7 linked regions of the Ovis aries genome follow. Each later gene encodes a partner of the first gene's protein in a complex. Links are inferred from orthologs where the notes say so. Each region holds a gene or a part of one and is shown in the gene's direction. Other genes may lie near its edges.

Evidence for each region.
Region 2: NUP188 (region 1) and NUP107 share a complex: the UniProt entries of both Homo sapiens proteins name them as parts of the nuclear pore complex. The link is inferred for Ovis aries from reciprocal best matches to the Homo sapiens genes NUP188 and NUP107.
Region 3: NUP188 (region 1) and E3 SUMO-protein ligase RanBP2 share a complex: the UniProt entries of both Homo sapiens proteins name them as parts of the nuclear pore complex. The link is inferred for Ovis aries from reciprocal best matches to the Homo sapiens genes NUP188 and RANBP2.
Region 4: NUP188 (region 1) and NUP153 share a complex: the UniProt entries of both Homo sapiens proteins name them as parts of the nuclear pore complex. The link is inferred for Ovis aries from reciprocal best matches to the Homo sapiens genes NUP188 and NUP153.
Region 5: NUP188 (region 1) and CETN3 share a complex: the UniProt entries of both Homo sapiens proteins name them as parts of the nuclear pore complex. The link is inferred for Ovis aries from reciprocal best matches to the Homo sapiens genes NUP188 and CETN3.
Region 6: NUP188 (region 1) and NUP214 share a complex: the UniProt entries of both Homo sapiens proteins name them as parts of the nuclear pore complex. The link is inferred for Ovis aries from reciprocal best matches to the Homo sapiens genes NUP188 and NUP214.
Region 7: NUP188 (region 1) and NUP98 share a complex: the UniProt entries of both Homo sapiens proteins name them as parts of the nuclear pore complex. The link is inferred for Ovis aries from reciprocal best matches to the Homo sapiens genes NUP188 and NUP98.

What each region holds. Positions count from the first base shown.
Region 1 is NC_056056.1:7,472,789-7,476,737, reverse strand, and holds the start of NUP188 (nucleoporin NUP188), read left to right. Parts: upstream 1-1,149; 5' UTR 1,150-1,161; coding exon 1,162-1,193; intron 1,194-3,949. Other genes in the region: DOLK (dolichol kinase), read right to left, coding at 1-750. UniProt on the Homo sapiens protein: Component of the nuclear pore complex (NPC), a complex required for the trafficking across the nuclear envelope. Required for proper protein transport into the nucleus.
Region 2 is NC_056056.1:151,265,837-151,269,336, reverse strand, and holds part of NUP107 (nuclear pore complex protein Nup107), read left to right. Parts: intron 1-243; exon of another isoform or gene 244-375; intron 376-1,165; coding exon 1,166-1,235; intron 1,236-1,544; coding exon 1,545-1,663; intron 1,664-2,637; coding exon 2,638-2,676; intron 2,677-3,026; coding exon 3,027-3,177; intron 3,178-3,499; coding exon 3,500-3,500. UniProt on the Homo sapiens protein: Plays a role in the nuclear pore complex (NPC) assembly and/or maintenance. Required for the assembly of peripheral proteins into the NPC. May anchor NUP62 to the NPC. Involved in nephrogenesis.
Region 3 is NC_056056.1:62,092,733-62,096,069, forward strand, and holds the end of E3 SUMO-protein ligase RanBP2, read left to right. Parts: intron 1-445; coding exon 446-591; intron 592-1,276; coding exon 1,277-1,550; intron 1,551-1,667; coding exon 1,668-1,993; intron 1,994-2,324; coding exon 2,325-2,630; 3' UTR 2,631-2,837; downstream 2,838-3,337. UniProt on the Homo sapiens protein: E3 SUMO-protein ligase which facilitates SUMO1 and SUMO2 conjugation by UBE2I. Involved in transport factor (Ran-GTP, karyopherin)-mediated protein import via the F-G repeat-containing domain which acts as a docking site for substrates.
Region 4 is NC_056073.1:39,067,132-39,070,631, forward strand, and holds part of NUP153 (nuclear pore complex protein Nup153), read left to right. Parts: intron 1-1,876; coding exon 1,877-2,233; intron 2,234-3,500. UniProt on the Homo sapiens protein: Component of the nuclear pore complex (NPC), a complex required for the trafficking across the nuclear envelope. Functions as a scaffolding element in the nuclear phase of the NPC essential for normal nucleocytoplasmic transport of proteins and mRNAs.
Region 5 is NC_056058.1:87,599,832-87,603,835, reverse strand, and holds the start of CETN3 (centrin-3), read left to right. Parts: upstream 1-1,204; 5' UTR 1,205-1,331; coding exon 1,332-1,348; intron 1,349-3,327; coding exon 3,328-3,463; intron 3,464-4,004. UniProt on the Homo sapiens protein: Plays a fundamental role in microtubule-organizing center structure and function. As a component of the TREX-2 complex, involved in the export of mRNAs to the cytoplasm through the nuclear pores.
Region 6 is NC_056056.1:5,537,231-5,540,730, reverse strand, and holds part of NUP214 (nuclear pore complex protein Nup214), read left to right. Parts: intron 1-537; coding exon 538-625; intron 626-2,750; coding exon 2,751-2,812; intron 2,813-3,500. UniProt on the Homo sapiens protein: Part of the nuclear pore complex. Has a critical role in nucleocytoplasmic transport.
Region 7 is NC_056068.1:50,105,121-50,108,620, forward strand, and holds part of NUP98 (nuclear pore complex protein Nup98-Nup96), read left to right. Parts: intron 1-74; coding exon 75-232; intron 233-766; coding exon 767-910; intron 911-2,123; coding exon 2,124-2,266; intron 2,267-3,500. UniProt on the Homo sapiens protein: Plays a role in the nuclear pore complex (NPC) assembly and/or maintenance. NUP98 and NUP96 are involved in the bidirectional transport across the NPC. May anchor NUP153 and TPR to the NPC.

The sequences.
Region 1 (3,949 bases):
CGAGTCCATGAATACAAAGAGGGTGCTGAAGAAGATGCCCATGAGCACCATGCCTACCACTACCACGAGCAGGAAGAAGTCCAAGGGGTCCCCCTGGCTTTCCACCACAGTGAGAGAGCGCTTGATGAGCTGGTTGAGCATGAAGCTGATGCCACCCAGGACCAGCAGCGCCTCTCCAGGGGTGAAGCAGCGAGGCAGCAGGTACAACAGGATCATGTTGAGGTACACAAAGATCAGCAGGGCCTCCAGGACCTCGATCACCTCGCCAACACTCAGCGAGTGCTTCATGATGTAAATGATGACGCCTCCAGCCAAGCCAGAGATGACGCAGGTGTTGGTGGGCACCGGGCGAGTGATGCCCAAGGCCAATACTGAGGAGAAGAGGGCCACTGCCATGCCCGTGGCTGCCACCACAATTCCGAACCGCTCGAAATATGGGTTCCCCGCAGCCTGGCAGCGCTCCTTCATAACCAGTCCTAGCAAAGGCATGACCACCGAAGCGGGCAGTAGGCCGCTGTTCGCGGACATTCGGAACTGAAAGACCGCGCTTCCCTGCTGTAGGAGCCGGTCCCATTTGTACTGAACGTAGAAGGCCTGCACCGCGAGGGCCACGGCGCACCACGAGTATCGATCCCACACGGCTGCGTGGATGCTCAGCACCACTACGAACACCACCGCCGCCTCTGCCAGCACGGAGCCACTCAGCGGAGCCCCGGACCCAGGGGTCGGGGGAGCGCACTCTCGGGTCATGTCTCTAGACTCCGGACCCACGGAAAACCGGGGTGACTAGGGATGCCTTGGACTCTGGCCCTTTAACCCCCGCCCGGCAGACAGCGGTAGCTTCGCCTTGCCAGCACCTTCTTTCTCCGTTCTTCAGCTTCCTCCAGAAAGGAAGCTCCACTGTAGGCCACTCTATGCTGCCTGGGAGTCGGCGTCAGGCTTTCCTCCACCAGTTCCCACTCACGGCGTAGACGTCTCCCCTCTGCCACCTCCCTCACAGCCTCGGCCGCGCTTGCCTGGGGTTCCTCACCTCTCCCGGCAACGCCATGTTGGCCCCGCCCCCGCACCCACGTGACGAAAACCCGGTCCACGCCCTGGAAGCGCGCGGTCACGTGGGCGTGGCGTCTGGGGGCGGGGCTGGGGGCGCGCGCGCGCGCGAAGATGGCGGCTGCCGCCGGCGGTCCGTGTGTGAGGTGCGGAGCGGGCCGAGTCGGCGGGGATGACTGAGGCGCGGGGTCCAAACCAAGCGCAAGCCGGGGCGGGAGTTGAGGGCGAGATGTGGCGGCAGTGGCAGGATGAAGGCCGGCTAGGTGTACGGGCGCCGGGACGGGAGGCGGTTACGGCCAAACGGTCCCCGCGCGCGGGGATATGAGGCGACTTCTGTGAAAGGGGGGCCGGCGCCTCCCCCCTTCCCGAGGCGCCGGCCTCCCGTCTCCTCACCCGGCCCTTCTCCTTCCCTCCCCTCTCCCGGCGGCGCGTCCCTCGGCGCCCCCTCCCCCCCTCACCGCGCTTCCTGTCCGGTGTGACGCTCCCTCGAGGCGCGACGGGGAGCTTCGCGGTTGCCCGGGGGAGCCCCCACCCGGTCCCCGCCGCAGCCTCCCGTGCCCGGCGGGCTCTCCCCCGGTTCCGCCATGTGCTCTTGCCGGGAGGTCTGTTTCGCGAGTGGCGGAACCACCTCCTTGCGGTTTCTGCCCTTTTCCGCCGCTCTTTCATTCATCCATCTAGTTGTTTTCTCTTGCACTGATTCCTTCAGTCGGCATCCCGGGCGCTGTTACTGGGCTTTAAAAGGGCAGGAAGAGAAAATATTAAAAAGACAGTTCTTACTAGCGTACTAGCGCCAAACCCTGGCGACGCGCTTTCTGGTTCTCCGCGTTATCTCCTTGAACTCCCACAACTCTGGGGAGGCACCTTGTAATTTACAGATGACTCACAAACCCAGCTCCCAGCTGGAGTGTCCCACTCGGAAGCTTTAGCCGGATCGCCGCACTTGCATCTCTCACTTGTAGCTTCAAAGTGTTCTCCATTCTCCCTTCCACCCGTCCCGCCCAACCGCGCCTGCCACTTTTTTTTCCCCCTTGTTCCAGCAACGTCTCCCCACTTTTTTGTCCTCTTCACTTAACTGCTGTAGCCTCAACACCCAGAAGAGCAGTAATAGACTCTCAGTAAATGTTTATTCCACTTGTCGCTTCTTTCACCTCTCTGTTGAGTGAGATTTTCATCTGTGGAATGTCCATTGAACTGCTTCTGAACTTTGTGAGAACCGGTTTGCTTCTTCCTCCATCCGTTGTGTCATGTCAGCTCTTATGTCGGGCAGCATCGTGGTCACCGTGCTTTCTTTTTCTCAGGCTTATCTTACAGTCCTTGTGGATCTTGGGTAAAGTTTAGCTCCTGCAGGGCAAGGCGGCTTCTTTAATGAAAGGGATTTTTACTTCCGTGGTATTTCCAATCTCTTAGTTGCTTTCATCCAAAGGTTTCCAACCACGTGGATATCTCTGATTATTTCCTATTTCCACCTACTCCAGCTTTTAGAGAAGTGGAGTTCCATGTTGTCTGCTAGAACATTGGGCTGCAAGTCAATAAATTTTTTGAATCTCACTTTTGAGGCAAATTATTTAATTTCTGTGCCTTAGTTTGTACTTATCTCAAATTTATTTACTTGTTGTGCAAATAAATGACAGATACTGTAGCACTTATTTCATTTCTTGAAAGTATATGTAGATAATGTTACCCTGAGGCTTGAATTGGACATCACAATTCCAATCTTGTCTGTTGAGTCTTGAGAATCACCTGCTCAAACCTCCAGGTCTGTTTGAGGTGAAGTCTTCCTTCAATCCCTGGGTTAGTTCCTAGTGATCACTGTCTTCTCTGACTCTTTTCTGTCATTTGTGGTTATATTCCTTGTAGTGTCTAATTGTTAGGGTCCTGCCCTTTGGTACTTTCTACTTTTTAGCTGAATGTGTTATGTTTAACATCCTTTATCATTCCCAACACTAAGTTTATGAGTGTCGTGAAGGTCTTAGATTTATTTGGTTTCCGTTATTCCTAGATCATAAATGTGTAGGAATTGAGGAGCCAGTAACACTCATTTCTAGGATGATTTCCTTTCTGATAAGCTACAGTTTTCTCTTTTGTTCTGCCATGTCTTGGCACTTCTGCATGTAATTTTTTTTTCTAGTTTTTCTGTTCCAGTTAGTTTGCAGGTCTGAAAGGGACTTGGAGTTTTGTTTTTTTAAAATTGATTTGTTAGTTTTTGCTCTGCTGGTCTTCATTGCTTTTGTGTGGGCTTTTTTTTTTTTTTTTCAGTTGTGGTGAGCAGGGGCTACTCTTTGTTGTGGTGCGCAGGCTTCTCATTGAGGTGGCCTGCTGTGTGCCAGCCCCGGTATTAGAGTATGATATACCACTGTAGGACAGAAAACTTCACCTCAGTCTTTATCTGCTTGCAGAGTGAATTCCTGGGTACAACTTGACGCCCTGTCTTACAATGATTAAACTTTGGAGTCTTGCAAGCCTAGGTTCAAGCCCTGGTTCCATTAAATATTAGCTTTGTGGCCTTACAGAAGTTACTTAACCACTCTGAAACCTTAGTTTCCTGATGAGATGATACGGATAGTATTTGCCTCATAGGTCAGTTGAAATATTCAGTAAGACAAAGCATTAAAGACTTAGCACGGTCCCCCACATAACTGCTCAGTAAATGTTGGCTCATCTTGTTAGCCAGCTTGTTTTCAATAAACATTATTTTTGACACCTTATAACAAAAAGACCATGCTATGACTTGGTTTTGCAAATGAGAATATTTCTAAAGAAATAGCTATTTTCTTCTTTTAATTAGTAAGTATAAAAGTTACTGCATTACTTCAGTCTTGTTTTGTAGCAGAATCTTTTTCTCCCCTCTCCACCCCCCAAAAAAGCCGATTCGTCAGACATAAAAGGCAAAAAAAAAAATCTA
Region 2 (3,500 bases), about 140 Mb from region 1:
AGTCTGTATTAGATTCTAATATATATGAGAACCTAATAAAGGACAGATGACCTTTCCTTTCAGAGGAAGAGGGGTGGTTTATTTACAGACATGGTATGGACATAATTGATTTTCCATCTGAAATAAAACAAAGCTAGATCTCTGCCTCATGACATGCATTACAATCAGTTCCAGGTGGAGCAAATATTTGTAAAAAAGAAAGAAAGACTGCTGGAAGAAAATTTAGACAAATAAAAATTAAAACCCTCCTACAAAGGCAGGTCTATGGTTTCCTGTCTTTTGGACACATAAGAATTGGAGGCAAGGAAATGTGGATTTAGAGAAGTCCGGTGCTAGCTTGCTTGCTGCAGGCTCACGATCAACCATCCCATGTAGAAAAAAAAAATTGACCAAAAATATAGAAATTATTTTCTTTAGGAAAAAAATTTAACAGCAGGTTACTTGTAAATTTTTTCTACTCTGTGCCTAATCACTATTTTGATGGATTTTATTACTCTTGGTACAATTTGCAGATGAATGCTTCCAAAACCCACTGTTTATATTGAAGGAAATCTTATAGTTTATTTTGCTTTGGTCATCTGTCCCCTTCTCTTCTGGTTCACCATGCACAGTCAAGGAAAACAGTAAAATACATTAATAAAAATATATCTGTCTATGTGTGATTAAAGCATTTTAATTGAAAAAAGAAAAAGTTTTATAACATTTACAGAGATTAAATTGTTTTATCACAGTTCTCTGTTTCAAAAAATAATGTTCAACCTTGAGTCCCAACGGCAGTATCTTTCTCATACTTTATTTAGGTTTCCTAATACCCTTCATTTCCAGCTTTTTCTTTGTCTGAATGCACGTGTGCTAAGTGGTTTCAGTCGTGTCTGACTCTGCGTCCCCATGGACTGTAGCCTGCCAGGCTCCTCTGTCCCTGGGATTCTCCAGGCAAGAGTACTGGAGTGCATTGTCATGCCCTGCTCCAGGGCATCTTCCCGACCCAGGGATCGAACGTCTCCTGTGGCTCCTGCGTTGCAGGGTGATTGTTTTACTGCTGAGCCACCGGGGAAGCCCTTTGTTTGTATATGTTCCTTCAACACTTTATGTTTTTAGCTTACCAATGAGTATATACTACAGAATGACCATAATAAATTTACAGAAAATGTGAAAATTTTTTCAGAGAGTTCTAGAAGAGAATCAAGAACATTATCATGTAGTTCAAAAATTCCTTATCCTGGGAGACATTGATGGTAAGATATATTTTATTTTACTTTGCATGAGTTCTTTGGTTTTTTAAAGTAGTTTTCTAAAAAGTTATCAAAACAGTGCACATGACTTACCACATCTTGTCATCTCTTTCAACCTATTTGACTGCAACTATATAATTTTTAGAAAATAAAGTTTGACTTTAATCCAGAGGCTGTTTGATGTGGTAGTTCATAACAATAAGGCAGTGAATTGATAAGAGTGCTATATGAATATAATAAATGTCCTTGGATAGAGTTTATGTCTCTTTTTTGATTTGTATCCATCTAAATCTTTGCTTTAATGGTTTGTAGGTTTGATGGATGAATTTAGCAAATGGCTTTCCAAAAGCAGGAACAGTCTACCTGGACACCTCCTCCGCTTCATGACTCACCTCATTTTGTTTTTCCGCACTCTTGGACTACAGACCAAAGTAAATAAAAATGAGCTGTATACTCTTCTCTGCAAGGCTGACGCTTTATACATCTGTTGTTAGGAAAACATGATACTACTTTGGGGTTTTGTTTTCTAAAATGGTGACCATAGTCTCACATTGTCGCTCAGTGATAACTCACTGCAGATGACTCTAATGTTCTGATCTGTGACTACAGAATGCTGATGTTTACCTGGACTGGAGACAGTTTATAACTTCAGTCCTCATCAGTACCCAACTCGAAATCAACCAGCAAGCTAACTGAACCAGACTAAGTTTTCTGTGGGATTTTAAGTCTTTGTTTTCTTTCTTTTTCTTCTGTCCTAAATGATTGGTAACATTTTGGGCAGAGTATGCATAGAAGGCAGAATGATGTAGTAGTTGAGAGCTGGGGTTTTGAATTAAAAATCTTGGATTCACATTCTTACACAGAAGCTTCTAGTGGTGTAAATCTGGGTAAATAAAACCTCTTTAAGTCTTAGATTCTTCCTCTGAAATGTGAACAGTAATAGTAATTACTCACAAAGAGTTAGGGTAAGTTAATACAAGAAATTTGTTAAGCAGTTAGCCTTGCATGTAGTAATTGCTGCTAAGTCATTTCAGTCGTGTCCGACTCTGTGACCCCACAGACGGCAGCCCACCAGGCTCCCCCGTCCCTGGGATTCTCCAGGCAATAACACTGGAGTGGGTTGCCATTTCCTTCTCCAATGCATGAAAGTGAAAAGTAAAATTGAAGTCGCTCAGTCATGTCTTACCCTCAGCGACCCCATGGACTGCAGCCTTCCAGGCTCCTCCATCCATGGAATCTTCCAGGCAAGAGCACTGGAGTGGGGTGCCATTGCCTTCTCCAGGCATGTAGTAATTGCTCAGTGGTAAATACTAAAAATCATTATGACAGGATTTTTATTAGTATTGGTGGTACACATAAACAGCTGTATTTATAATTTAATTATATCTGTTTTTTTCCTATGAAGGAAGAAATTTCCATTGATGTTTTAAAGACATACATACAGGTAAACTCTGGTAAAACAGGTAAAATCAAATCCACAGTTTGATTCTTTTTTTTCCTTTGACCATTTTAATGAAAACATAAATCAGAATGATAGTATTTTAATATCTAGTGGCAGAAAGGTTATCAAAATATCATAAATATCATACCAAATATCAAAATACATAAATATCTGTTAATTATCATAAATACTTTGTTTTGGAATTTAAAGTTAATCCTGTTTAGCAGTACAACTCTATGTCTGTATGCATCTCTCCTAAATATGTTAAAAATTTTGAATTGAATAGTGCTGTTGTTCCTAGAACTTGCTTTATTATTGACATATTAACATTTTGATCCTTTTCTATTTTTCAGCTTTTAATAAATGAGAAACATACAAATCTCATAGCATTTTATACCTGTCATTTGCCTCAAGACCTTGCTGTTGCCCAGTATGCATTATTTTTGGAAGGTGTTACAGAGTTTGAACAGCGCCACCATTGCCTGGAGCTGGCTAAAGAGGCAGGTAAAAATGGAAGGCTTCATCTGTTGGGCTCTGTAAGCAGATTATCATTTTGTCTTAGTAACATATATCCTTCTAGTTTTAAATCCTGTTTTTCTTGAGAGGAAAAGAAGGAATGACATTTTCAATGAAATTCTGTTTTGGAATGAAATAACTTATACTGTATATTGTGTAAAATATCTTTTAATTTTGGTATTTTCTTTTATAATTTCTTTCATATTTTAAAGAATTGTTATCCCAGATTTACTAAATCATTGTGATTATTTAAAGAATATTAGTGTGAATGAGTAATTTCTTGTTTCTGTCCCTTCAAAAAATGTTTTAGA
Region 3 (3,337 bases), about 55 Mb from region 1:
AGCTAAGGTGGAGAAGTTACCAACTTGTAATCAGTCTGCTTTCAAAGTAGCAGATTTGGCCTCTTGGAGAACATTCTTAGGCTCTAAAGTTACTTTTTTCATGTAATAGAATGTTTTATGAAATAAACTACCCTTGGAGCTGTGTTGTGTTTTCAGGTTTCAAAGGATGCACTTTGAATGAAGAACCTGCTTTATTACTAAAAGTTCAGTGTCACTAAGACCTAAGGCTTATACAACCCTGTCTGTATACCCAGGCGTAAATGTTACTACATTCCTTTGTGCTCACCACTTGAGCTTAACTTGCCAGGAGAATGCAGTTTTAAGCATTTTTATTAGAAGTATGTCACATCATTGGAAATTAGATTCATTCATAAAGTACTGTAACAGGGATTAAAAGCTTATTAAAATAGATATCACTGTTTAAATATCCTAATTTATTCATCAGATAAAAATTTCCAGTGGGCAAATACTGGAGCAGCAGTGTTTGGAGCACAGTCAACTGGTAAAGTTGGCGAAGATGAAGATGGTAGTGATGAAGAGGTAGTTCATAATGAAGATATCCATTTTGAACCAATAGTGTCACTACCAGAGGTAAATATTAAAGTGTAAAAACCTTATACTAACTTCACATTTTAAGTTTAAAACTTGACATGGGCTTGATTTGTAGGGCTGACCTTGTTTGCATTTCTTTCAGAACATTGACCATTACAAATGGAAGCTCTTTATTACAAGTTCAATCTTAAAATGTAAATCATCCTTGTAAAAAAATTTACATACAAATGTTATTTGGAAAATTCTGTGTGAAATTGTTGGGAAGAACTTAATTTTTTCCTGTTTGTTTTCAATAACATAATTGAAGGAGCAAAATATTAAAAACCCATCTAAGCTGATATTTGCCACAGTCCTTTCAATAAAAAGTATATTGTACTTTCTCTAGACAGGAATGTTATTTTAGGCAAATTACTTTCATCAGTTTGAACCTTAGTCAGCAGATAGTATTTTTCTTGAAGAACAAGATTTTTTTTTTTTTAACCTCTTCTCTCCTGTAAAAGATTGTATTTGATTTCCAAAAAGAGGAAGGATGTTAATAAGTACAAAGAAAACATTTAATGACAAATCTTTCCTGCCTCATCCGAATCTGCCGTATAGTAACCCTAGGATGTTAACTCTTTTCAAATTCTGTTCATGTCAGTGTGTTAAGGAATTTGGATCTTTGGAATTTGTTATGAGTATTTTATAAGCAGCAGCTTATAGGTAATTTCATCTCCTGTCACAGGTAGAAGTAAAATCTGGAGAAGAAGATGAAGAAATTTTATTTAAAGAGAGAGCCAAACTTTACAGGTGGGATCGAGAGGCCAGTCAGTGGAAAGAGCGTGGCGTTGGAGACATGAAGATCCTCTGGCACACGGTGAAGAATTACTTTCGGATTCTGATGAGGAGAGACCAGGTGTTCAAAGTGTGTGCGAACCATGTCATCACCAAGACGATGGAACTGAAACCCTTGAATGTTTCCAACAATGCTTTAGTTTGGACTGCCTCAGATTATGCTGGTGAGCTCTGCACTCAATGCTACTTTCCAGTTTTTTACTTTTCTAAATTGACAACAAATATATAAAACAATTTTTTTTAAGTTATTTTAACACTAAGGCCATTGTGTTGTTTAACAGATGGAGAAGCCAAAGTGGAACAGCTTGCAGTGAGATTTAAAACTAAAGAAATGGCTGATTGTTTCAAGAAAAAATTTGAAGAATGTCAACAGAATTTATTGAAACCCCAGAAATCACTGACATCAGAGTTCTCAAAGGAGACAAATCCTGTGGTGTTTTTTGACATTTGTGCAGATGATGAGCCCCTGGGACGCATAACCATGGAATTATTTTCAAACATTGTTCCTAAAACTGCTGAGAACTTCAGAGCACTGTGCACTGGAGAGAAGGGCTTTGGTTTCAAGAGCTCCATATTCCACAGAGTGATTCCAGATTTTGTTTGCCAAGTAAGTCTTAAGTGTGCATCACACCAGTGTGGGAAATCTGAGTGTTTCTCCTTACCTGTAATTGTAGACTATAGCTTTCCCACACCCCCAGCTTCTATCCCCACAAGAACTTGCAGCCTAAAAGCGTTCATATTTCTAATGCCTTGAACCTGATAGAAATTAAGGGTGGGAAAAGATCTTTTCATTTTTGTTTCCTTTCACAAATTTCTTAGTTTTTTCAAACTGCATTCTCAGAGAAGCTGGGTATTTAGGACCACCCCTTCAGTGGTTAGTTCTGTATGTGTTTTAATGTTTTATTTGTGATTCCTGTTAATTGAAATCTTTTTTTCAGGGGGGAGATATCACAAAACATGATGGAACAGGAGGACGGTCCATTTATGGAGATAAATTTGAAGATGAAAATTTTAATGTGAAACATACAGTTCCTGGTTTACTATCAATGGCCAATCGAGGCCAGGACACCAATAATTCTCAGTTTTTCATAACACTGAAAAAAGCAGACTGTTTGGACTTTAAGCATGTAGTATTTGGGTTTGTTAAAGATGGTATGGATACTGTGAAAAAGATTGAGTCATTTGGTTCTCCTAAAGGGTCTGTTAGTCGAAGAATTATTATCACAGAATGTGGACAGATATAAAATCATTGTTTTCCATAGTAAATTTTACCTGTATAAAAGTTGAATTGAGGCCTAGCTGTTTTGACAACATGGTAATTAATTATGTTCAGCTTTTGAAAATGGACTCCAATGTACAAATGTAAAATTGCAGCTTATAGCTGTTGTCACTTTCTAATGTGTTATAATTGACCTTGCATGGTGTGAAATAAAAGTTTAAACACTGGTGTATTTTCAGGTGTACTTGTGTTTATGTACTCCTGACATATTTGTATTAAAATGGAATACTAATCTTGTTAAAAGCAATAGACCTTCTCAAACTATTGAAAGAATATGATATATGCAATTTAATTTTAGTTCCTTTTAAGATATTAGACTTCCTGCATGGATATACTTACTGTTTGAATAAAGGGACCATGACTTGGATAATTTTTATTTCAGATTTGGACTATATTTGGTAATTTTAACTATTGGTGTGTTCAGTTATGAACAGATTCACTTGTAAATGGGTAGAGCCACAGAGGGCAGAGACTTAACCAAAGTGCTCTTCTATAAATTCTTGCACCTCCTGTATAGTTAAATTCTCTTTTAAGCAGAGTACCTTCTTTCCTTAAAATACGTAGCTTCCTGCGCCCTTTCAAAGGTATTAAATTAATTTTTACATTTTAAGTTGAGTAATTATTGTTTAAAAAACCTTTCTGTCATCTGTTTCTACTACCTCAAACTGCATT
Region 4 (3,500 bases), on another chromosome or scaffold:
AGAATTTCCCAGAACCCAATGTAAAAGAACAGATCTAAGCCATATCCACAAGTTCCATTGGAATAGGAGTGCGTAGAAGATGAGGACAGTATGAAGGAAATACCAAAGAAGCAACAGGAGGAAACTCCCCACATGTAAAGAAAGACACTGGTCTTAAAAACGACGTGTTCACTGCGAAGGACCAGTGAAATTTTAGGACACCAGGGCCAAAATCCTGAATGCTTTCAGAGAAAAGAGTTTGCCACAAGTAGATTATCAGATTAGCATCAGACTTCTCATTTGTAACATGGAATGCCAAAAACAGTAGAGCAGTGACCTCAAAATGAAAAAATGGTCTTGAGTTGAGAATTCTGTTAACCAGTCAAATACTTTCAGACTGTAAGAGCAACATACAGATGTTTTTCAGACAAGCAAAGAATCAAAAGTTGAATACGTATGAACACTTTTGAATAATAAATTGGAAACACAAGAAAATGAAAAATTAACCTGAAAATATTTGTATGGAATTCAGCACCTAGGTATGAGCAGTTTTTATCTATAAAATTTTACTTAAAAAACACCCTTCAAAGAAAGCAAAAACTAAATTATCCATTATTACTTAGAAGGAATAAAAATGAGATAGGGTCTAATCAAATTTAATCCTAGTATCACTATACTATTTCCATTGAAACATGCATTTTCAACATCCTATTAAGCAACTTGAAAGTGACCTATTACATTTACTGTCAGTTATATTGGTGCCCATACTGCAGTGTGACCAGCCCTGTCTAGTAGATAGTGTTGGAATTGAGAGATTATTGGAACAAGTTTTTTAAAAAAGTCGTCTACTAAAGGTAGCTGGATTCAGGGTCACCATATAAAGAATCAATAGCTTTCCTCCAAATCAAAAGTGAATAGTTTGGTAGCATATCCCATTTATATTTTCTAACAGTTCCAATTTGTGTTTTATAATGTCAGCAGAACCTGCAACATCATAAATAAGAGAACATAAATGAGGTATTTTATACTTGTTCCTGAGTGAATATCCTTTCCTCTCTACCTCAGCCCCAATAGAATTTCAGTTCTTAGAGGAATTTTTGTGAACTTAACATGTGAAAATAATTCTAAAAATTCATATGGAAGGGAAAACTTGAATTGTGGAGAGAAAGGCTGGCATACCGTCAGGTTTGCCCTACTAATATCCAGCAATGCTATAAGGCTGCAGTATTTGAAACAGTCCAGCAACGGTAGCTGTAGAGGTTTGGCAGTTTAGTATGTTGTAGAGTTACAACTTAGTGAGCAGGCTAGGGTGCACTAGTCTGGACAGCAAATTCAGATAGTGGTGTCCAGTGAGATTTGGATTTAAGGAGTATTTAAAAATATATGTATACTTTGCAAATACACATAAATATTACGTGCATATATATATATATATGAATAGTTTTATGTGTTTGACTATATCAAAATCTAACAAATTTCCATTCGATGAACTAATTTATATTAAAATCTTAATGATTCTCGGAGAAGGCAATGGCACCCTGCTCCAGTAGTCTTGGCTGGAAAATCCCATGGACGCAGGAGCCTGGTGGGCTGCAGTCCATGGGTTCACTAAGAGTCTGAGATGACTGAGCGACTTCCCTGTCACGCATTGGAGAAGGAAACGGCAACCCACTCCAGTGTTCTTGCCTGGAGAATCCCAGGGACGGGGGAGCCTGATGGGCTGCCATCTGTGGGGTCGCACAGAGTCGGACATGACTGAAGCGACTTAGCAGCAGCAGCAGCATAAGCAGTAATGATTCTATTTGCTAATGGATGCTAAGATTTTGGGGTAGGAAAAAAATGCCTTCTGTTATTACTTGTTCTTAAAGAATTTTGTTTCTTAATTTCCATCTTACAGATCAAGGTGCGGCCAAGCCAGTTTTTAGTTTCTTGAACAGCAGTTCCTCTAATTCAAGTGCACCAGCCACTTCAGCTGGTGGTGGCATATTTGGCAGTTCCACCTCGTCCTCCAGCGCGCCTGTGGCTGCCTTTGTGTTTGGACAGGCCAGCAATCCCGTGAGCAGCTCTGCCTTTGGAAATGCTGCCGAATCTAGTACATCTCAGTCTTTGCTGTTTTCTCAAGACAGCAAACCAGCAACCACATCAAGCACGGGTACAGCTGTCGCCCCATTTGTCTTTGGCACAGGAGCCAGCAGTAATAATGCTGCAAGCTCTGGCTTCAACTTTGGAGCTACAACCACATCTAGCTCTGCAGGTACGTTTAAAGACAAAAACATGTTGTAGTTGAATTGGCTTTCATTATAAGTAGATGATCTCTTAGTGTATAATATCACAAGAAGGCATGGCTGCATTTAGGTCGTTTCTAGCTGGGATGTTGTAATTACTCAGTGTGGAATGAAGTACATTTTGAGTTTAATATAATTCCGGACCACAGCCTTGTCTAACTCAGTGAAACTAAGCCATGCCTTGGTGGCCACCCAGGACAGGTGGGTCATGATGAAGAGGTCTGACAGAATGTGGTCCACTGGAGAAGGGAATGGCAAAACACTTCAATATTCTTGCCTTGAGAACCCCATGAACAGTATGAAAAGGCAAAATGATAGGATACTGAAAGGGGAACTCCCCGGGTTGGTAGGTGCCCAAATATGCTGCTGGAGATCAATGGAGAAATAACTCCAGAAAGAATGAAGGGATGGAGCCAAAGCAAAAACAACACCCAGTTGTGGATGTGACTGGTGACAGAAGCAATATCTGATGCTGTAAAGAGCAATATTGCATAGGAACCTGGAATGTCAGGTTCATGAATCAAGGCAAATTGGAAGTGGTCACACAGGAGATGGCAAGAGTGAATGTCAACATTCTAGGAATCAGCAAACTAAAATGGACTGGAATGGGTGAATTTAACTCAGATGACCATTATATCTACTACTGTGGGCAGGAATCCCTTAGAAGAAATGGAGTAGCCATCATGGTCAACCAAAGAGTCCGAAATGCAGTACTTGGATGCAGTCTCAAAAACAACAGAATGATCTTTGTTCGTTTCCTAGGCAAACCATTCAATATAATGGTGATCCAAGCCTATGCTCCAAGCAGTAATGCTGAAGAAGCTGAAGTTGAACGGTTCTATGAAAATCTACAAGACCTTTTAGAACTAACACCCCAAAAAGATGTCCTTTTCATTCTAGGGGACTGGAATGCAAAAGTAGGAAGTCAAGAAACACTGGAATAAGAGGCAAATTTGGCCTTGGAGTACAGAATGAAGCAGGGCAAAGACTAAGAGTTTTGCTAAGAAAATGCACTGGTCATAGCAAACACCCTCTTCCAACAACACAACAGAAGACTCTGCACATGGACATCACCAGATGGTCAACACTGAAATCAGATTGATTATATTCTCTGCAGCCAGAGATGGAGAAGCTCCATACAGTCAGCAAAAACAAGGCTGGGAGTGACTGGCTCAGATCATGAACTCCTTATTACCAAATTCAGACTTGAAATTGAAGAAAATGGGGAAAACCACT
Region 5 (4,004 bases), on another chromosome or scaffold:
CTCTTTCAGAATTTTCTACAGTTTGTTGTGATCTGAAAGTCAAAGGCTTTGGCATAGTCAATAAAGTGGAAGTGGATGTTTTTACCATCTTTACTTACCCAAATTTAGCTCATCCTTCTAGGCTTAACATATATGCCATCTCCTTCAAGAAGTCTTTCTTATACCTTCTGTGTTCTCTCTCTTCTCTAAACGTGTACATGTATCTCTTTATATTTATGCCACAGTTTTATATATCAATATCTTCCCTCTTCTGTTACTGGACACCTACTCTCTGGCTATTTCATTCCTTTTTGAGATTTGCAGTTTAGCTCAGTACTTTGCGATTTTTCACAGCAAGATTCCATTTAATGCAACAAATATCTACGGAGCAGAGGCATCAGACATTTACAACGAATCATACATTGTTTTAGGCACTAGGAATAGTGTTAAATGAAGGATATAAGCCTTTTAAGATTAGTAGGAGAGATGAACAGTAAAGATATTAAATGTCCAAGTGAGCTTTAAGAGACTTCGTTTGGTGGTGAAGATAACATCATGAGTATAAGCAGCTTACAGCACTCGAAAATAAAGGACAAAAACGAACAAACCAGTTCAAAGGAGGAATAGGGGAGCAAATGGCCCTTAGGTACAGCTTCAACCTTAAATAGCCTAATAATCCAACTCAGTGATTATCAAAATATAATCCGCAGTATCTGCTTCAGAATCATTTGAAGTTTGTATAAAAAAATGCAGATTCACACCTACTAGAAATTAGAATGAGTGATATTTAAATCTGCGTTTTAAACACACTCCCCATGTACTCAAACCATCCAAAAATGTACAATACAGTAGAGTCAAGTTTCGCAGACACAGTTCGAAAGCCGCTCCCTCCTTCTAGCCGGAGGAGAGCCTGCGGCGTATCTCATCCCTTCCCTTTCCACCGGGTCTCCGGACACTGGGCCACATGCCACAGCCTTTCTGGTCAGAAGCATAGCTCGCCACCTCCCACCTGAGTCCTAGCTTCTCTAGGATTGGGGTGGGGCGTGGGGGTGGGGCGGAAAGCAACAGGCCAATCTACAGGGGGAGAGGCGTAGCAGGGGATGCCGGCAGGGAGATCTATTTGATTGACGTGAAATAAGACCAATGAGAGCAGAGGACAAGTGACGCTTTCGCCTCAATGGGCAGGACGTTAGCGATTTCAACCAATCCAGCTCAGGAGTGTCTTGCTTTGTGGGAGGTTTTTGAGACCGCTGAGGGTCGTTGGCGTCTGTCGAACGGCTTGTGGAAGTCTTGCTGCTCTGGGTAGGGGGTTAAAATCGTTCTCGAGAGGAACGCCTCAGTCCGAAGAGAAAATGAGTTTAGCTCTGAGGTCGGTAATGAGGAGACGGCAGATGCACTCCACACCTCGCAGCGGGCCCCAGGGCGGTTGTGTGTGGAAGGGAAACAGCTGGGGGCCGAAGCGAGGAAGGGAATGCAGTTTGGGACGAGGGACGGGATCCTTGGTCAACGTTCCCGGGCCCAGACCCCTCCCCTTGGGGGCCCTGGTGAGCTCTGCACTTTAGCTGAGGCGGTCATTTCTGTCAGGGCACTGGCTTTAGACCGCCAAAAAGCCGGGCTGAGGTAGTCTTGAGGAGGCAGGGAAATATCGCGAGGTTTCAATGCGCGGTGTTTATGCGAGAAACCGGGAAACCAGGCCTTGGAGCATCCCTTGGTTCAGTGCCTTGTCCACGGCTTCCATCTCGGCCGACTTTCTGCTAACATGCGTGCTCAGTCGTTTCAGTCGTGTCAGACTCTTTGTGACCCTATGGGCTGTAGCCCGCCAGGCTCCTCTGGGTGTGGGTTTCTCCAGGCAAGAGTACTGGAGAGGATTGCCCTGCCTTCCTCCAGGTGATCTTGCAAACCTGCGTCTCCTGCATTGCAGGTATATTCTTTACCCACTGAGCCACCTGGGAAGCCCCCTACTAACATATTTACCCGTAAATTTTGGAAACAACGCAAAACCTCTCCTCTTTCTCCTGGGGCCCTGCAAAAGGGTATAATCAGAGGCCCCTTTTAGTGATTTTAGTTGGTAATCTCTTAGCTTTCCTAAATTTTCTGATTTTACTTTTCATTCATTTCCAACCTCTAACCCACTGTTTGTTGCTCCCTCTCCCAACCACAACTAAAAGTTTTACCTTAAAAGTGTTTATGTAGTTACGCTTCAGTAAAAAGGAAGCGAGTTCTGACGAGGAAATGAGGTCTACTGTCGGTGGGTTGTGAACTTTGGTCTGGTCGGAATCTTGGGAAGAGAATAACCCCCGGAGTTTCCAAGTTTTTGTGAATTCAGGTCTCTTGTGAAAGAAAGAGCTTTATCATAACCTCATTTGGTCATTTTCTAGTCATCTCTTGCCTTTTTAGAGTAGATTTCACAGAATTAAAGAAAAGTCAACTGGTTTTTACATTTTTAAAGTTTATAGAATTCTTGTTTCAAAGCTTGTACAAGTGTTGTAAGCCCCATATGAAAATTTGAAATGCTTATATTGGCACCTCTTAAGGAATACATTTCTAGTTTTTAGAGTAAATTACGTTTTGTACTTTAAGTTTTTTCAGAGTTTGTGACAAACTGTCTAGATGTACATGCTGAGATTTATGAGACAGTTGACTCTTCACCTTATATATAAATAAAATACCACAAATATTAAGTACTTTTTTGGTGTTTGATATTCGTGGTATGCTTACGTTCATTATTTTGGCTGATTTGTTAATATCAATGGGAGAAATTACAAAAAAGTGCCAGTTTAAAATGTGTAGTCTAAAAATACTAGTCTAAACTGTGCCAAAATAGTTTGTAAATTAATTGATGAATTAGATTTTTTGGCAATAATTTTGATAATTCTAAGCACTATGAAAGTAAACCTAATATATAGAGATCAACAATTGTGAATTGAATTCTTATTTTTTAAAACAGTCTGTATTGTAGAATGATGAGAATAAGTATGGGTGTTTGTTTTTTGTTGGGGTTTCTGACAGAACTGTTTCTTTTTCACAGTTCTTGTTTCTTCCACAGTAATATTAGTGGGAATGAATACAAAGCTAGGAAGAGGAAAAGCTAGGTCCTCATTTCTTTTAATAACCTTTTAAAACTGTAAAACTTTTCAGTTTTAGGGAGGTACAAATTTAAAGCAGCTTAGACAATGGATTGAGCAGGGCTTTGATTCATGTAAGGAAATTTTTTATAAAATACTTTTTAGAAGTTTAAAACATTCATTGGCTAATTTTTTTGTTGCATTTTTGGAATTTTATCATTTAGAAGCATATGACAATAGGATTAAAGTGGACTAAATAGACTTTTTTCTTATCATTCCATAGAAATGACCTTGTAGTAGACAAAACAAAGAGGAAAAAAAGAAGAGAACTCTCTGAAGAACAGAAACAAGAAATTAAAGATGCTTTTGAACTATTTGACACAGACAAAGATGAAGCAATAGATTATCATGAATTAAAGGTAATACACTTAAAATATATCTTTTCTATTAAAACATTTTGCATTTTTGTCCACTGATTAAAAATGCATTTCTAAATATTTTAATTGAACTGGTTTTGGAAATGTAAACCATTTTAAACATTTACTGTTAAGCTAAGCTGAGTCACTTCAGTCGTGTCCGACTCTGTGTGACCCCATAGACAGCAGCCCACCAGGCTGCCCCATCCCTGGGATTCTCCAGGCAAGAACACTGGAGTGGGTTGTCATTTCCTTCTCTAATGCATGAAAGTGAAAAGTGAAAGTGAAGTTGCTCAGTTGTGTCCGACTCTTAGCGACCCCATGAACTGTAGCTCACCAGGCTCCTCCATCCATGGGATTTTCCAGGCAAGAGTACTGGAGTGGGGTGCCATTGCCTTCTCCAAAAGTTGAGTAGTACTTGTATCTTTTTAGAAACTCCTTTTCACATGGTAAAATGAATAATATTTTAAATGTAAAAATATATTCCTATAGAGGGGCTTATTTTTCATTCACATAATTAAAATATTTGAAACTGAAGGATTTA
Region 6 (3,500 bases), about 1.9 Mb from region 1:
AGACGACGGGCTACACTTTAACTCTCCACTCTTCTCTGTGTGACAGCAGTCGTGTTACCTCTGTAATAAAAAATAAAGAAGCAGACCTGTTATTAACTAATAGTAATACAAGAAGTCTCTGGAAAAACAGATGCGGCGAGAAAGCCAGCAGCCGTGAAGTCACTACTCAGAGATGTTTCACATGACCTGTTTCCCCTTGGAGTTTCTTTTCCTTTGACATGTATCACATTTCATTAATTGCAGAATCTACTTTTAAAGCCTTAAATTTGACCTGCACTCCAGTTACTTTGATGTCTTTCCTGGAAAGGGTAAAGTGGCATGCCTTGGTTTGAAATTGACAGTTGACAGGGCCAGAGAGCCCATTCAGAGACCTTGAGCACGACCGAGTCCTCACTCTCCCCTTGACTGCTGACCTACAGGAAGCACGTGACCTGGGGCTGCGCTTTGCGTGGCACTAAGCATTCAGTGCCACAGAGAATTAAACTAAAATGGTGTTGGTTTTTTTGTAATGCTCTTCTTTTTTTCCCATAATTCCAGGACCAGTGGCAACCAAGATAGAAACAGCTGTGACTTCTACCCCGTCTACTGTTGGGCAGTTCAGCAAGCCTTTCTCATTTTCATCAGGGTCAGTTGTAAACTTAAGTTTTGTGGCAGATCACAAAATCCTTATAGATTGCTTCTCCAAATCTTATAGTCAGCGGGTATACTTATATGAAGCCAGAGTTCTTATCTCCACAGTGACACATTTAATGATAGTGGGAGTAGCTTAGTGTCCTAATGTAAATCTGTTTGCCCTTTTCGATTCAGTTTTATATGTGTGTTCTTACTGGCTTGTTTGTTTTGTTGTTTAGGATAAGCCTTGTTTGGGTAGTGGGTCTGTGGTTGCTCTAGTTTATCACACCGAGATCTTTTCATTCTGACACCATCTGGCGGCTGGGTGAGACCTTGGATTGGCTTCGCTGCCCCGAGAGGTCACATTATACTAGACTGCTGAGCAATCAAGACAGTGGCCATTTAAGAATTGGGGTTTTATATAGATGTGGGGAAGTCCATTTCTGTTTCATTTTTTTTAAAGTGATGATGTCTGTACTTGTCAAATTGAGTTATTTTTAAAAACAAAAGGGTCTTCTAACCCTCAGTCCAAAGGAAGTTCTTATTAACGTTGGAGGGGGCATACCTTTTCACTATCCTGCGAACACTCATCATGAAACCTGTGAGAGTTGGCAGAGCATCTCTCTTCTTTGGGGTGGAGTTAGTCTCTGTGTGGCTGAGATAAATACTCATCCAAAGATTGTTTTCACTGTGAAGGGTTGCACATTCAGTTCCACTAGAAAAGTCTCTTAAGCTCTTCCAGTTTATGCTTTTGTAACTGGAATCACACTGACCACAGTCTCTTTTCCCTGCTGTGAGTTTGTTTCTTGAACACCCTTCAGCCTAACACATTACGAGAAAGGAGGGTGTTAGAATAGAATTTTAAGGGGGAAATCATATATATTTTCCTGTAAATCATTAGTTTTCTACTCCCCAAAGGTAGTTTGGAGCACAGTTTTAGAGAGTAGGTCAGTTCCAGGAGCTACCGCATCTGTTAATTAATCTTTACTTCTGTGAACCTGATACTCTTCTTCCCGTCTTTAAAATAACCTACAGAGGTTTGGGTCATAGGTCAGCTGCTTACCTCTGTTACATCAAATTTCTTCACCAGAGTTGAGACAAAGAAAGAGATTTGTTTTCTTTTTTTTAAGATGATAAAATATTTAACACATCTTAGGTGGTCTTGGACCATTTGATGAAGCCAGTGACGAGTTTAAAAAAAAACCCAACTCTACTCTTTACTGTTACTTACTCTTTTTGATATGCTCGGCTTTTTATCAGGTTGCCCAAAAAGTTCGTTTGGGGTTTTCCATAACATCTTACAGAAATGCCTAAATGAACTTTTTGACCAATCCAACAGTTTTTAATTTGCTATTTGAACTTTTCTCAGAATGAGTACTCCATTCTGGCTCAGCTGGTGCTGAGTTTTCTTCTTTGCTTATATTGTCTTCACTCACAGGGTGAAGAAAATGTACAGAAAGAGAGGAGAGGATGAAAAGAATCAGATAGGTTTTTGAGGGACTTTTCCTGGTGGCCTAGTGGTTAGGGTACAGCTACAGCGCTTTCATTTCTGTGGGCTGTGTGCAGTGCCTGGTCAGAGAAGTGAGATCCCACAAGCCACTTGGTGCAACCAAAATTTTTTTTTTAAAGTTTCTGAACCAAATTTCCCAGCCGAGGACTAAGCGTTTTGTCCGAACAGCAAAGACAGTGGCTTCCATTTCATACTGTCTGTTGTCTCCCCCAGTGGCATGCGCTGTCCTGACGTGCTCCCTGGGTGGGTCATAGGCTCCTCCTCACCTAGCCCATCCCGTCCGCCTCACTAGGCGAGCCAACCGCTCCAGCCACCATCCCAAGGCACAGTCCTAGTGCTCCTTCACTTTCCTTGAAATAGGTCCCCACCCCCTCTACCATGGGAAGCCTGGCTGTTCCTCCAAGGCCTCCTCACTGGCTGCTTCCCTCTCACCTCACCCACACATCGCTCCCCCCCACGCTCTGAGAGCTCTGCGCTGCTGCTTCAGAGGCAATGCGCTTGCTGATGTTTATCGATAGATTGCAAGTCCCTGAGAGTAGATTATGTGAATGGATTATAAATGTACTGTTAAAGGGCAGTGTTGCGCCTTAAGTCTGTTCGTTTTTAACTTCTTTTCTTCCACCCCTAGGACTGGCTTTAATTTTGGGATAGTCACACCAACACCGTCTTCTAACTTCACTGCCACACAAGGTACAGTCTCTGCATTGAGTCGCCTCACTTTCGTGTTTCCCTCTAAACAAGTGCAGGTTTGAGGGAGGCAGGTTGGTTGACATTTTACTTGCTGCTGCATTTTGCTTAAAGTATCTGCAGTGAACTTGGTGTTGATATTATGCATTAGAAATAGGCTGGATTTAAGAAACTGTGGGGAATGACTTTTGTCTTCATAGTTAAAAACTCAGAAAGGGTTTGCTTTTAGAAAGGCAAGGCTGTGCTTTAAATGTGAATGTTTACACGCAAATTAAAATTTCTTTCTCCATCTTTGTCATATGGTATTTAAAATTATATCAATTTTTAATAATCATAATATGTAGTGAAACTATATGTAACTTTGTTCTGTATTTTCCCAGTTTCCTGTAGAGTGTTATCATACTTTCATAATTTAAAAAAATTTTTTTTGTTTGTTTTGTTTTAAAAAAATTTTTTAAATGAAGTCAAAATTGTATCAATTTGTAGGTTGAGATAGGCAATGGTAAAGAATCCACCTGCCAAGGCAGGAAACGCAAGAGATGCTGGTTCAATCCTTGGGTTGGGAAGATCCCTTGGAGGAGGAAATGGCAACCCACTCCAGTATTCTTGCCTGGGAAATTCCATTGACAGAGCCTGGTGGGCTGCAGTCCACGGAGTCCGACAGGCCTGAGTGATTGAACACACACGCAGT
Region 7 (3,500 bases), on another chromosome or scaffold:
TAAGATAATGCCCCTAAGTGTTTTTCCAAGTCTATGAATCCTCAGCGTCACCAAAGAACTTCTTTTTCTTGTAGGTGATCATCGTCTTGCTCTTCTTTTATCCCAGTTGGTTGGCAGCCAGTCAGTTCGTGAGCTGCTTACTATGCAGCTGGTGGATTGGCATCAACTCCAGGCTGACTGCTTCATCCAGGAGGAGAGACTGCGCATCTTTGCCCTCTTGGCTGGAAAACCGGTATTTTCCTCTTTTCTTGTGAACTCACATAAATATTTTCATAGATTCAGGATTACTTGAAGTTAAGGCAAAGAGCTATCTTTTAAGTTGTATGTTGTTACCTATAACTAAGCAACTTATATTTAACTTTGAGCAGAAATATTTTCAAATTAGAAAGGTGCCACTTCTCTTTCATTTTATGTATGATGTATCATAATGACTTTAAGCCAGTTTTCTTGGTGCCTACCTGTTTTGCTTGCCATCAATTTCCGAAAACACAGTCACTGATCAGAATTTATTCACATCTTAAAAAGTTGGCCACTGTGGGCAGTGAGTGGTTCTCATCACTTCTCAGCGCACTTATTGTCTAAGTGCCTCCTATTTAGTCCACCCAGTCACCTGCCACCAGGGAACTGTGTAGTTTATATCTGGGCCATTAACACTGATATTTAAATCATTTAAAATGCAGTTTAAATAAGTGAGCAGCATGCAGGCTTGGGCAATAACAAGGTAACATATAATGTAGAGCTGTGGTGGTGATTTTGCCTCCTGCAGGTGTGGCAGCTCTCAGAGCAGAAGCAAATCAATGTGTGCTCCCAGTTGGATTGGAAACGCTCCCTGGCTGTCCATCTTTGGTATTTGCTTCCACCAACAGCTTCCATTTCCAAGGCGCTCAGCGTGTATGAAGAAGCATTTCAGGTACATATATCCAGTAGAACCAAGCACGAGTCCTGGTGGGAGTTCTGGTTTTACTAGAAAAGTACTCCTACTCCAGAGGAAAAAAAACCATCAAATCATATTTTGCAATACTTTTTTCTAACTACTTTTTTGAAATTACCGTAAAATTGAAATGGACACAGGAAATGATGGGAAATTTCTTCAAATATCTGCTTATGTTTTGCTTAACACAAGGAGTTTCCACAGTTTACTCTTTTTTTAAAAAGTGATTGTATTATTTTTTGCTACGCTGGGTCTTTGTTGCCTCACTCAGGCTTTCTCTAGTTGGGCAAGTAGGGGCTACTTCTTAGTTGCAGTGTGCGGGCTTCTCGTTGTGGTGGCTTCTCTTGTGGAACACAGGCTCTAGGGCATGTGAGCTTCAGTAGTTGTGACACATGGGCTCAGCTGCCTCTTGCCATGTGGGATCTTCCTGGACCAGGGATCGAACCAGTGTCTTCTGCCTTGCAAGACAGATTCTTAACCACTGGACCGTCAGGGAATCTCACAATATATTTTCTTACTGCTGTTTTTCTGCACCATCATCAGAGGGTTTTTCTTCATTCCTAATGCTGTTTTATTCCTTTGGGAATTCCCTGAGCTACAGCCTGACCTTGTGTTTAGTATAGCCCCAAATTAGCACGTCTGAAATTTGCCTCTAAATATCATTATATTAATATTTCATATTCCTTGTGAATTTGGAGGTTAAAGTATTCTTGATGTTTTTAATGCCATTGTTTGGTTCTTTTCTTACTGCTAATTTTTATTGTCTTTGATATCATTTGCCAGAATTATTTGTCAGGGAAAAAAGAACACTAAAAAAAAAAACTAAGTGTAATGAAGTTTAAAATCCTTGAAACAATCCTTTAGCGGATGTCACACCATTCTTGGGGCTTCCCTGGTGGCCCAGAGGTTAAAGCGTCTGCCTGCAATGCAGGAGACCTGGGTTTGATTCCTGGGTCACGAAGATCCCCTGGAGAAGGAAATGGCAACCCACTCGAGTACTCTTGCCTGGAGAATCCCATGGACAGAGGAGCCTGGTGGGCTACAGTCCACTGGGTCGCTAAGAGTCGGACACAACTGCGCAACTTCAGTTTCACTTTCACACCATTCTTAATATACATCTGAGTAACTGAGATATATCATCATCTAGTGAAACACACTTGCAACTGATGTATTGTTTTATTCTTAACTTCAGAATACCTCTGAGGGTGACAGATATGCCCGCTGTCCACTTCCTTCATACCTAGAGGGCTCTGGATATGTGGTAGAGGAGGAGCAAGATTCACAGAGACCTCTTCAAGATGTCTGCTTTCACCTTCTAAAACTCTACAGTGACAGGTAAATCAGTCGTGTTACAATCACTTGAGGGCTCCATGAACCTTAGGGAGTTCTTTCCCTTTTATATGTGGTCAAATTGCCATAAGATTATATTAATCACAAAATAAAACAGTAATGGAGTTCAAAGAGCATGGGAACTAGAATTAGAAATCTAAAAATTTACATTTTAAATCAACTATATTTTAATAAAAAATTTAAAAACAATTATTTTAATCAACTTCAATGAGATACAATTTATATATATTGATAATAAAGTGTGTGGTTTGATATTTTTTAATGTGATGTAACTACCATCATTATTTGGATAGCATTAACATTACCCTCCAAAAGTTCCCTCATGTTCCTTTGCAGTCAGTCCACACCCCAGACAACTACTGACTTTTTATTATTGTAGATTACTTTGTTATTACAGAATTTTATATAATTGTGTATGTTATCTTTTGTGCCTGCTTTTTTTTACTCAACATGGTGATTTTGAGATTTATCCATATTAATATGTATAATGGAAATTTAATTTTTATTCTTTTGTTAGTGAACAATTTTTTTGGGTCTTAGGATATTAAGAATAAAGCTGTTGTGACCACTTGTATCTAAAAGTCCCATCAAGATCTATAATTGCTCCAGATCTTCGTCAAAATTTGTTATTGGCTTTTAAAACTTTATCATTTTAGTGGGCATATAGTGGCATCTCGTTTTTGTATGCTTAATAAGAAATTAATATATTAACATGTTGTTATATCTAATCAAATAATTTAAACTATCTCAGAGCTGGCTTTTTACCTTACATCAGAAACACTGAGCAGTTTTCTCCAGTCAGAAGTAGTAGCTCACATCTCACTTCAGTTTTTTAAGTACTTTTTTTTAAATTAACTATACTAATTTTAGAATAATAGTCTCTTATTGTGGTAAAATACAGATAACTAAAATTGTGTTTTAATTTGCATTTCCCTTAATACCTAATGATGGCAAGCGTTTTTTCATGTGTTTATTTACCATCTACATATCTTCCTGAAATGTCTGTTGAAATCTGTTGCTGCCACCCCCATCCCGCCACTTTAATGGGGGTATCTAATAGTTCTTTTTTATGTTGTAATAGTTTTTTTCTTGAGCCAGTTTTGTTCATTTGTTTTTCCTAAGAAATTTTTCTGTTTCACCAAAGTCACCAGATTTATTGGCATAAAGTTATTTGTAATTTGTCCTTATTGTTTTTTAATGTCTGTAAGAGATTGAAAAG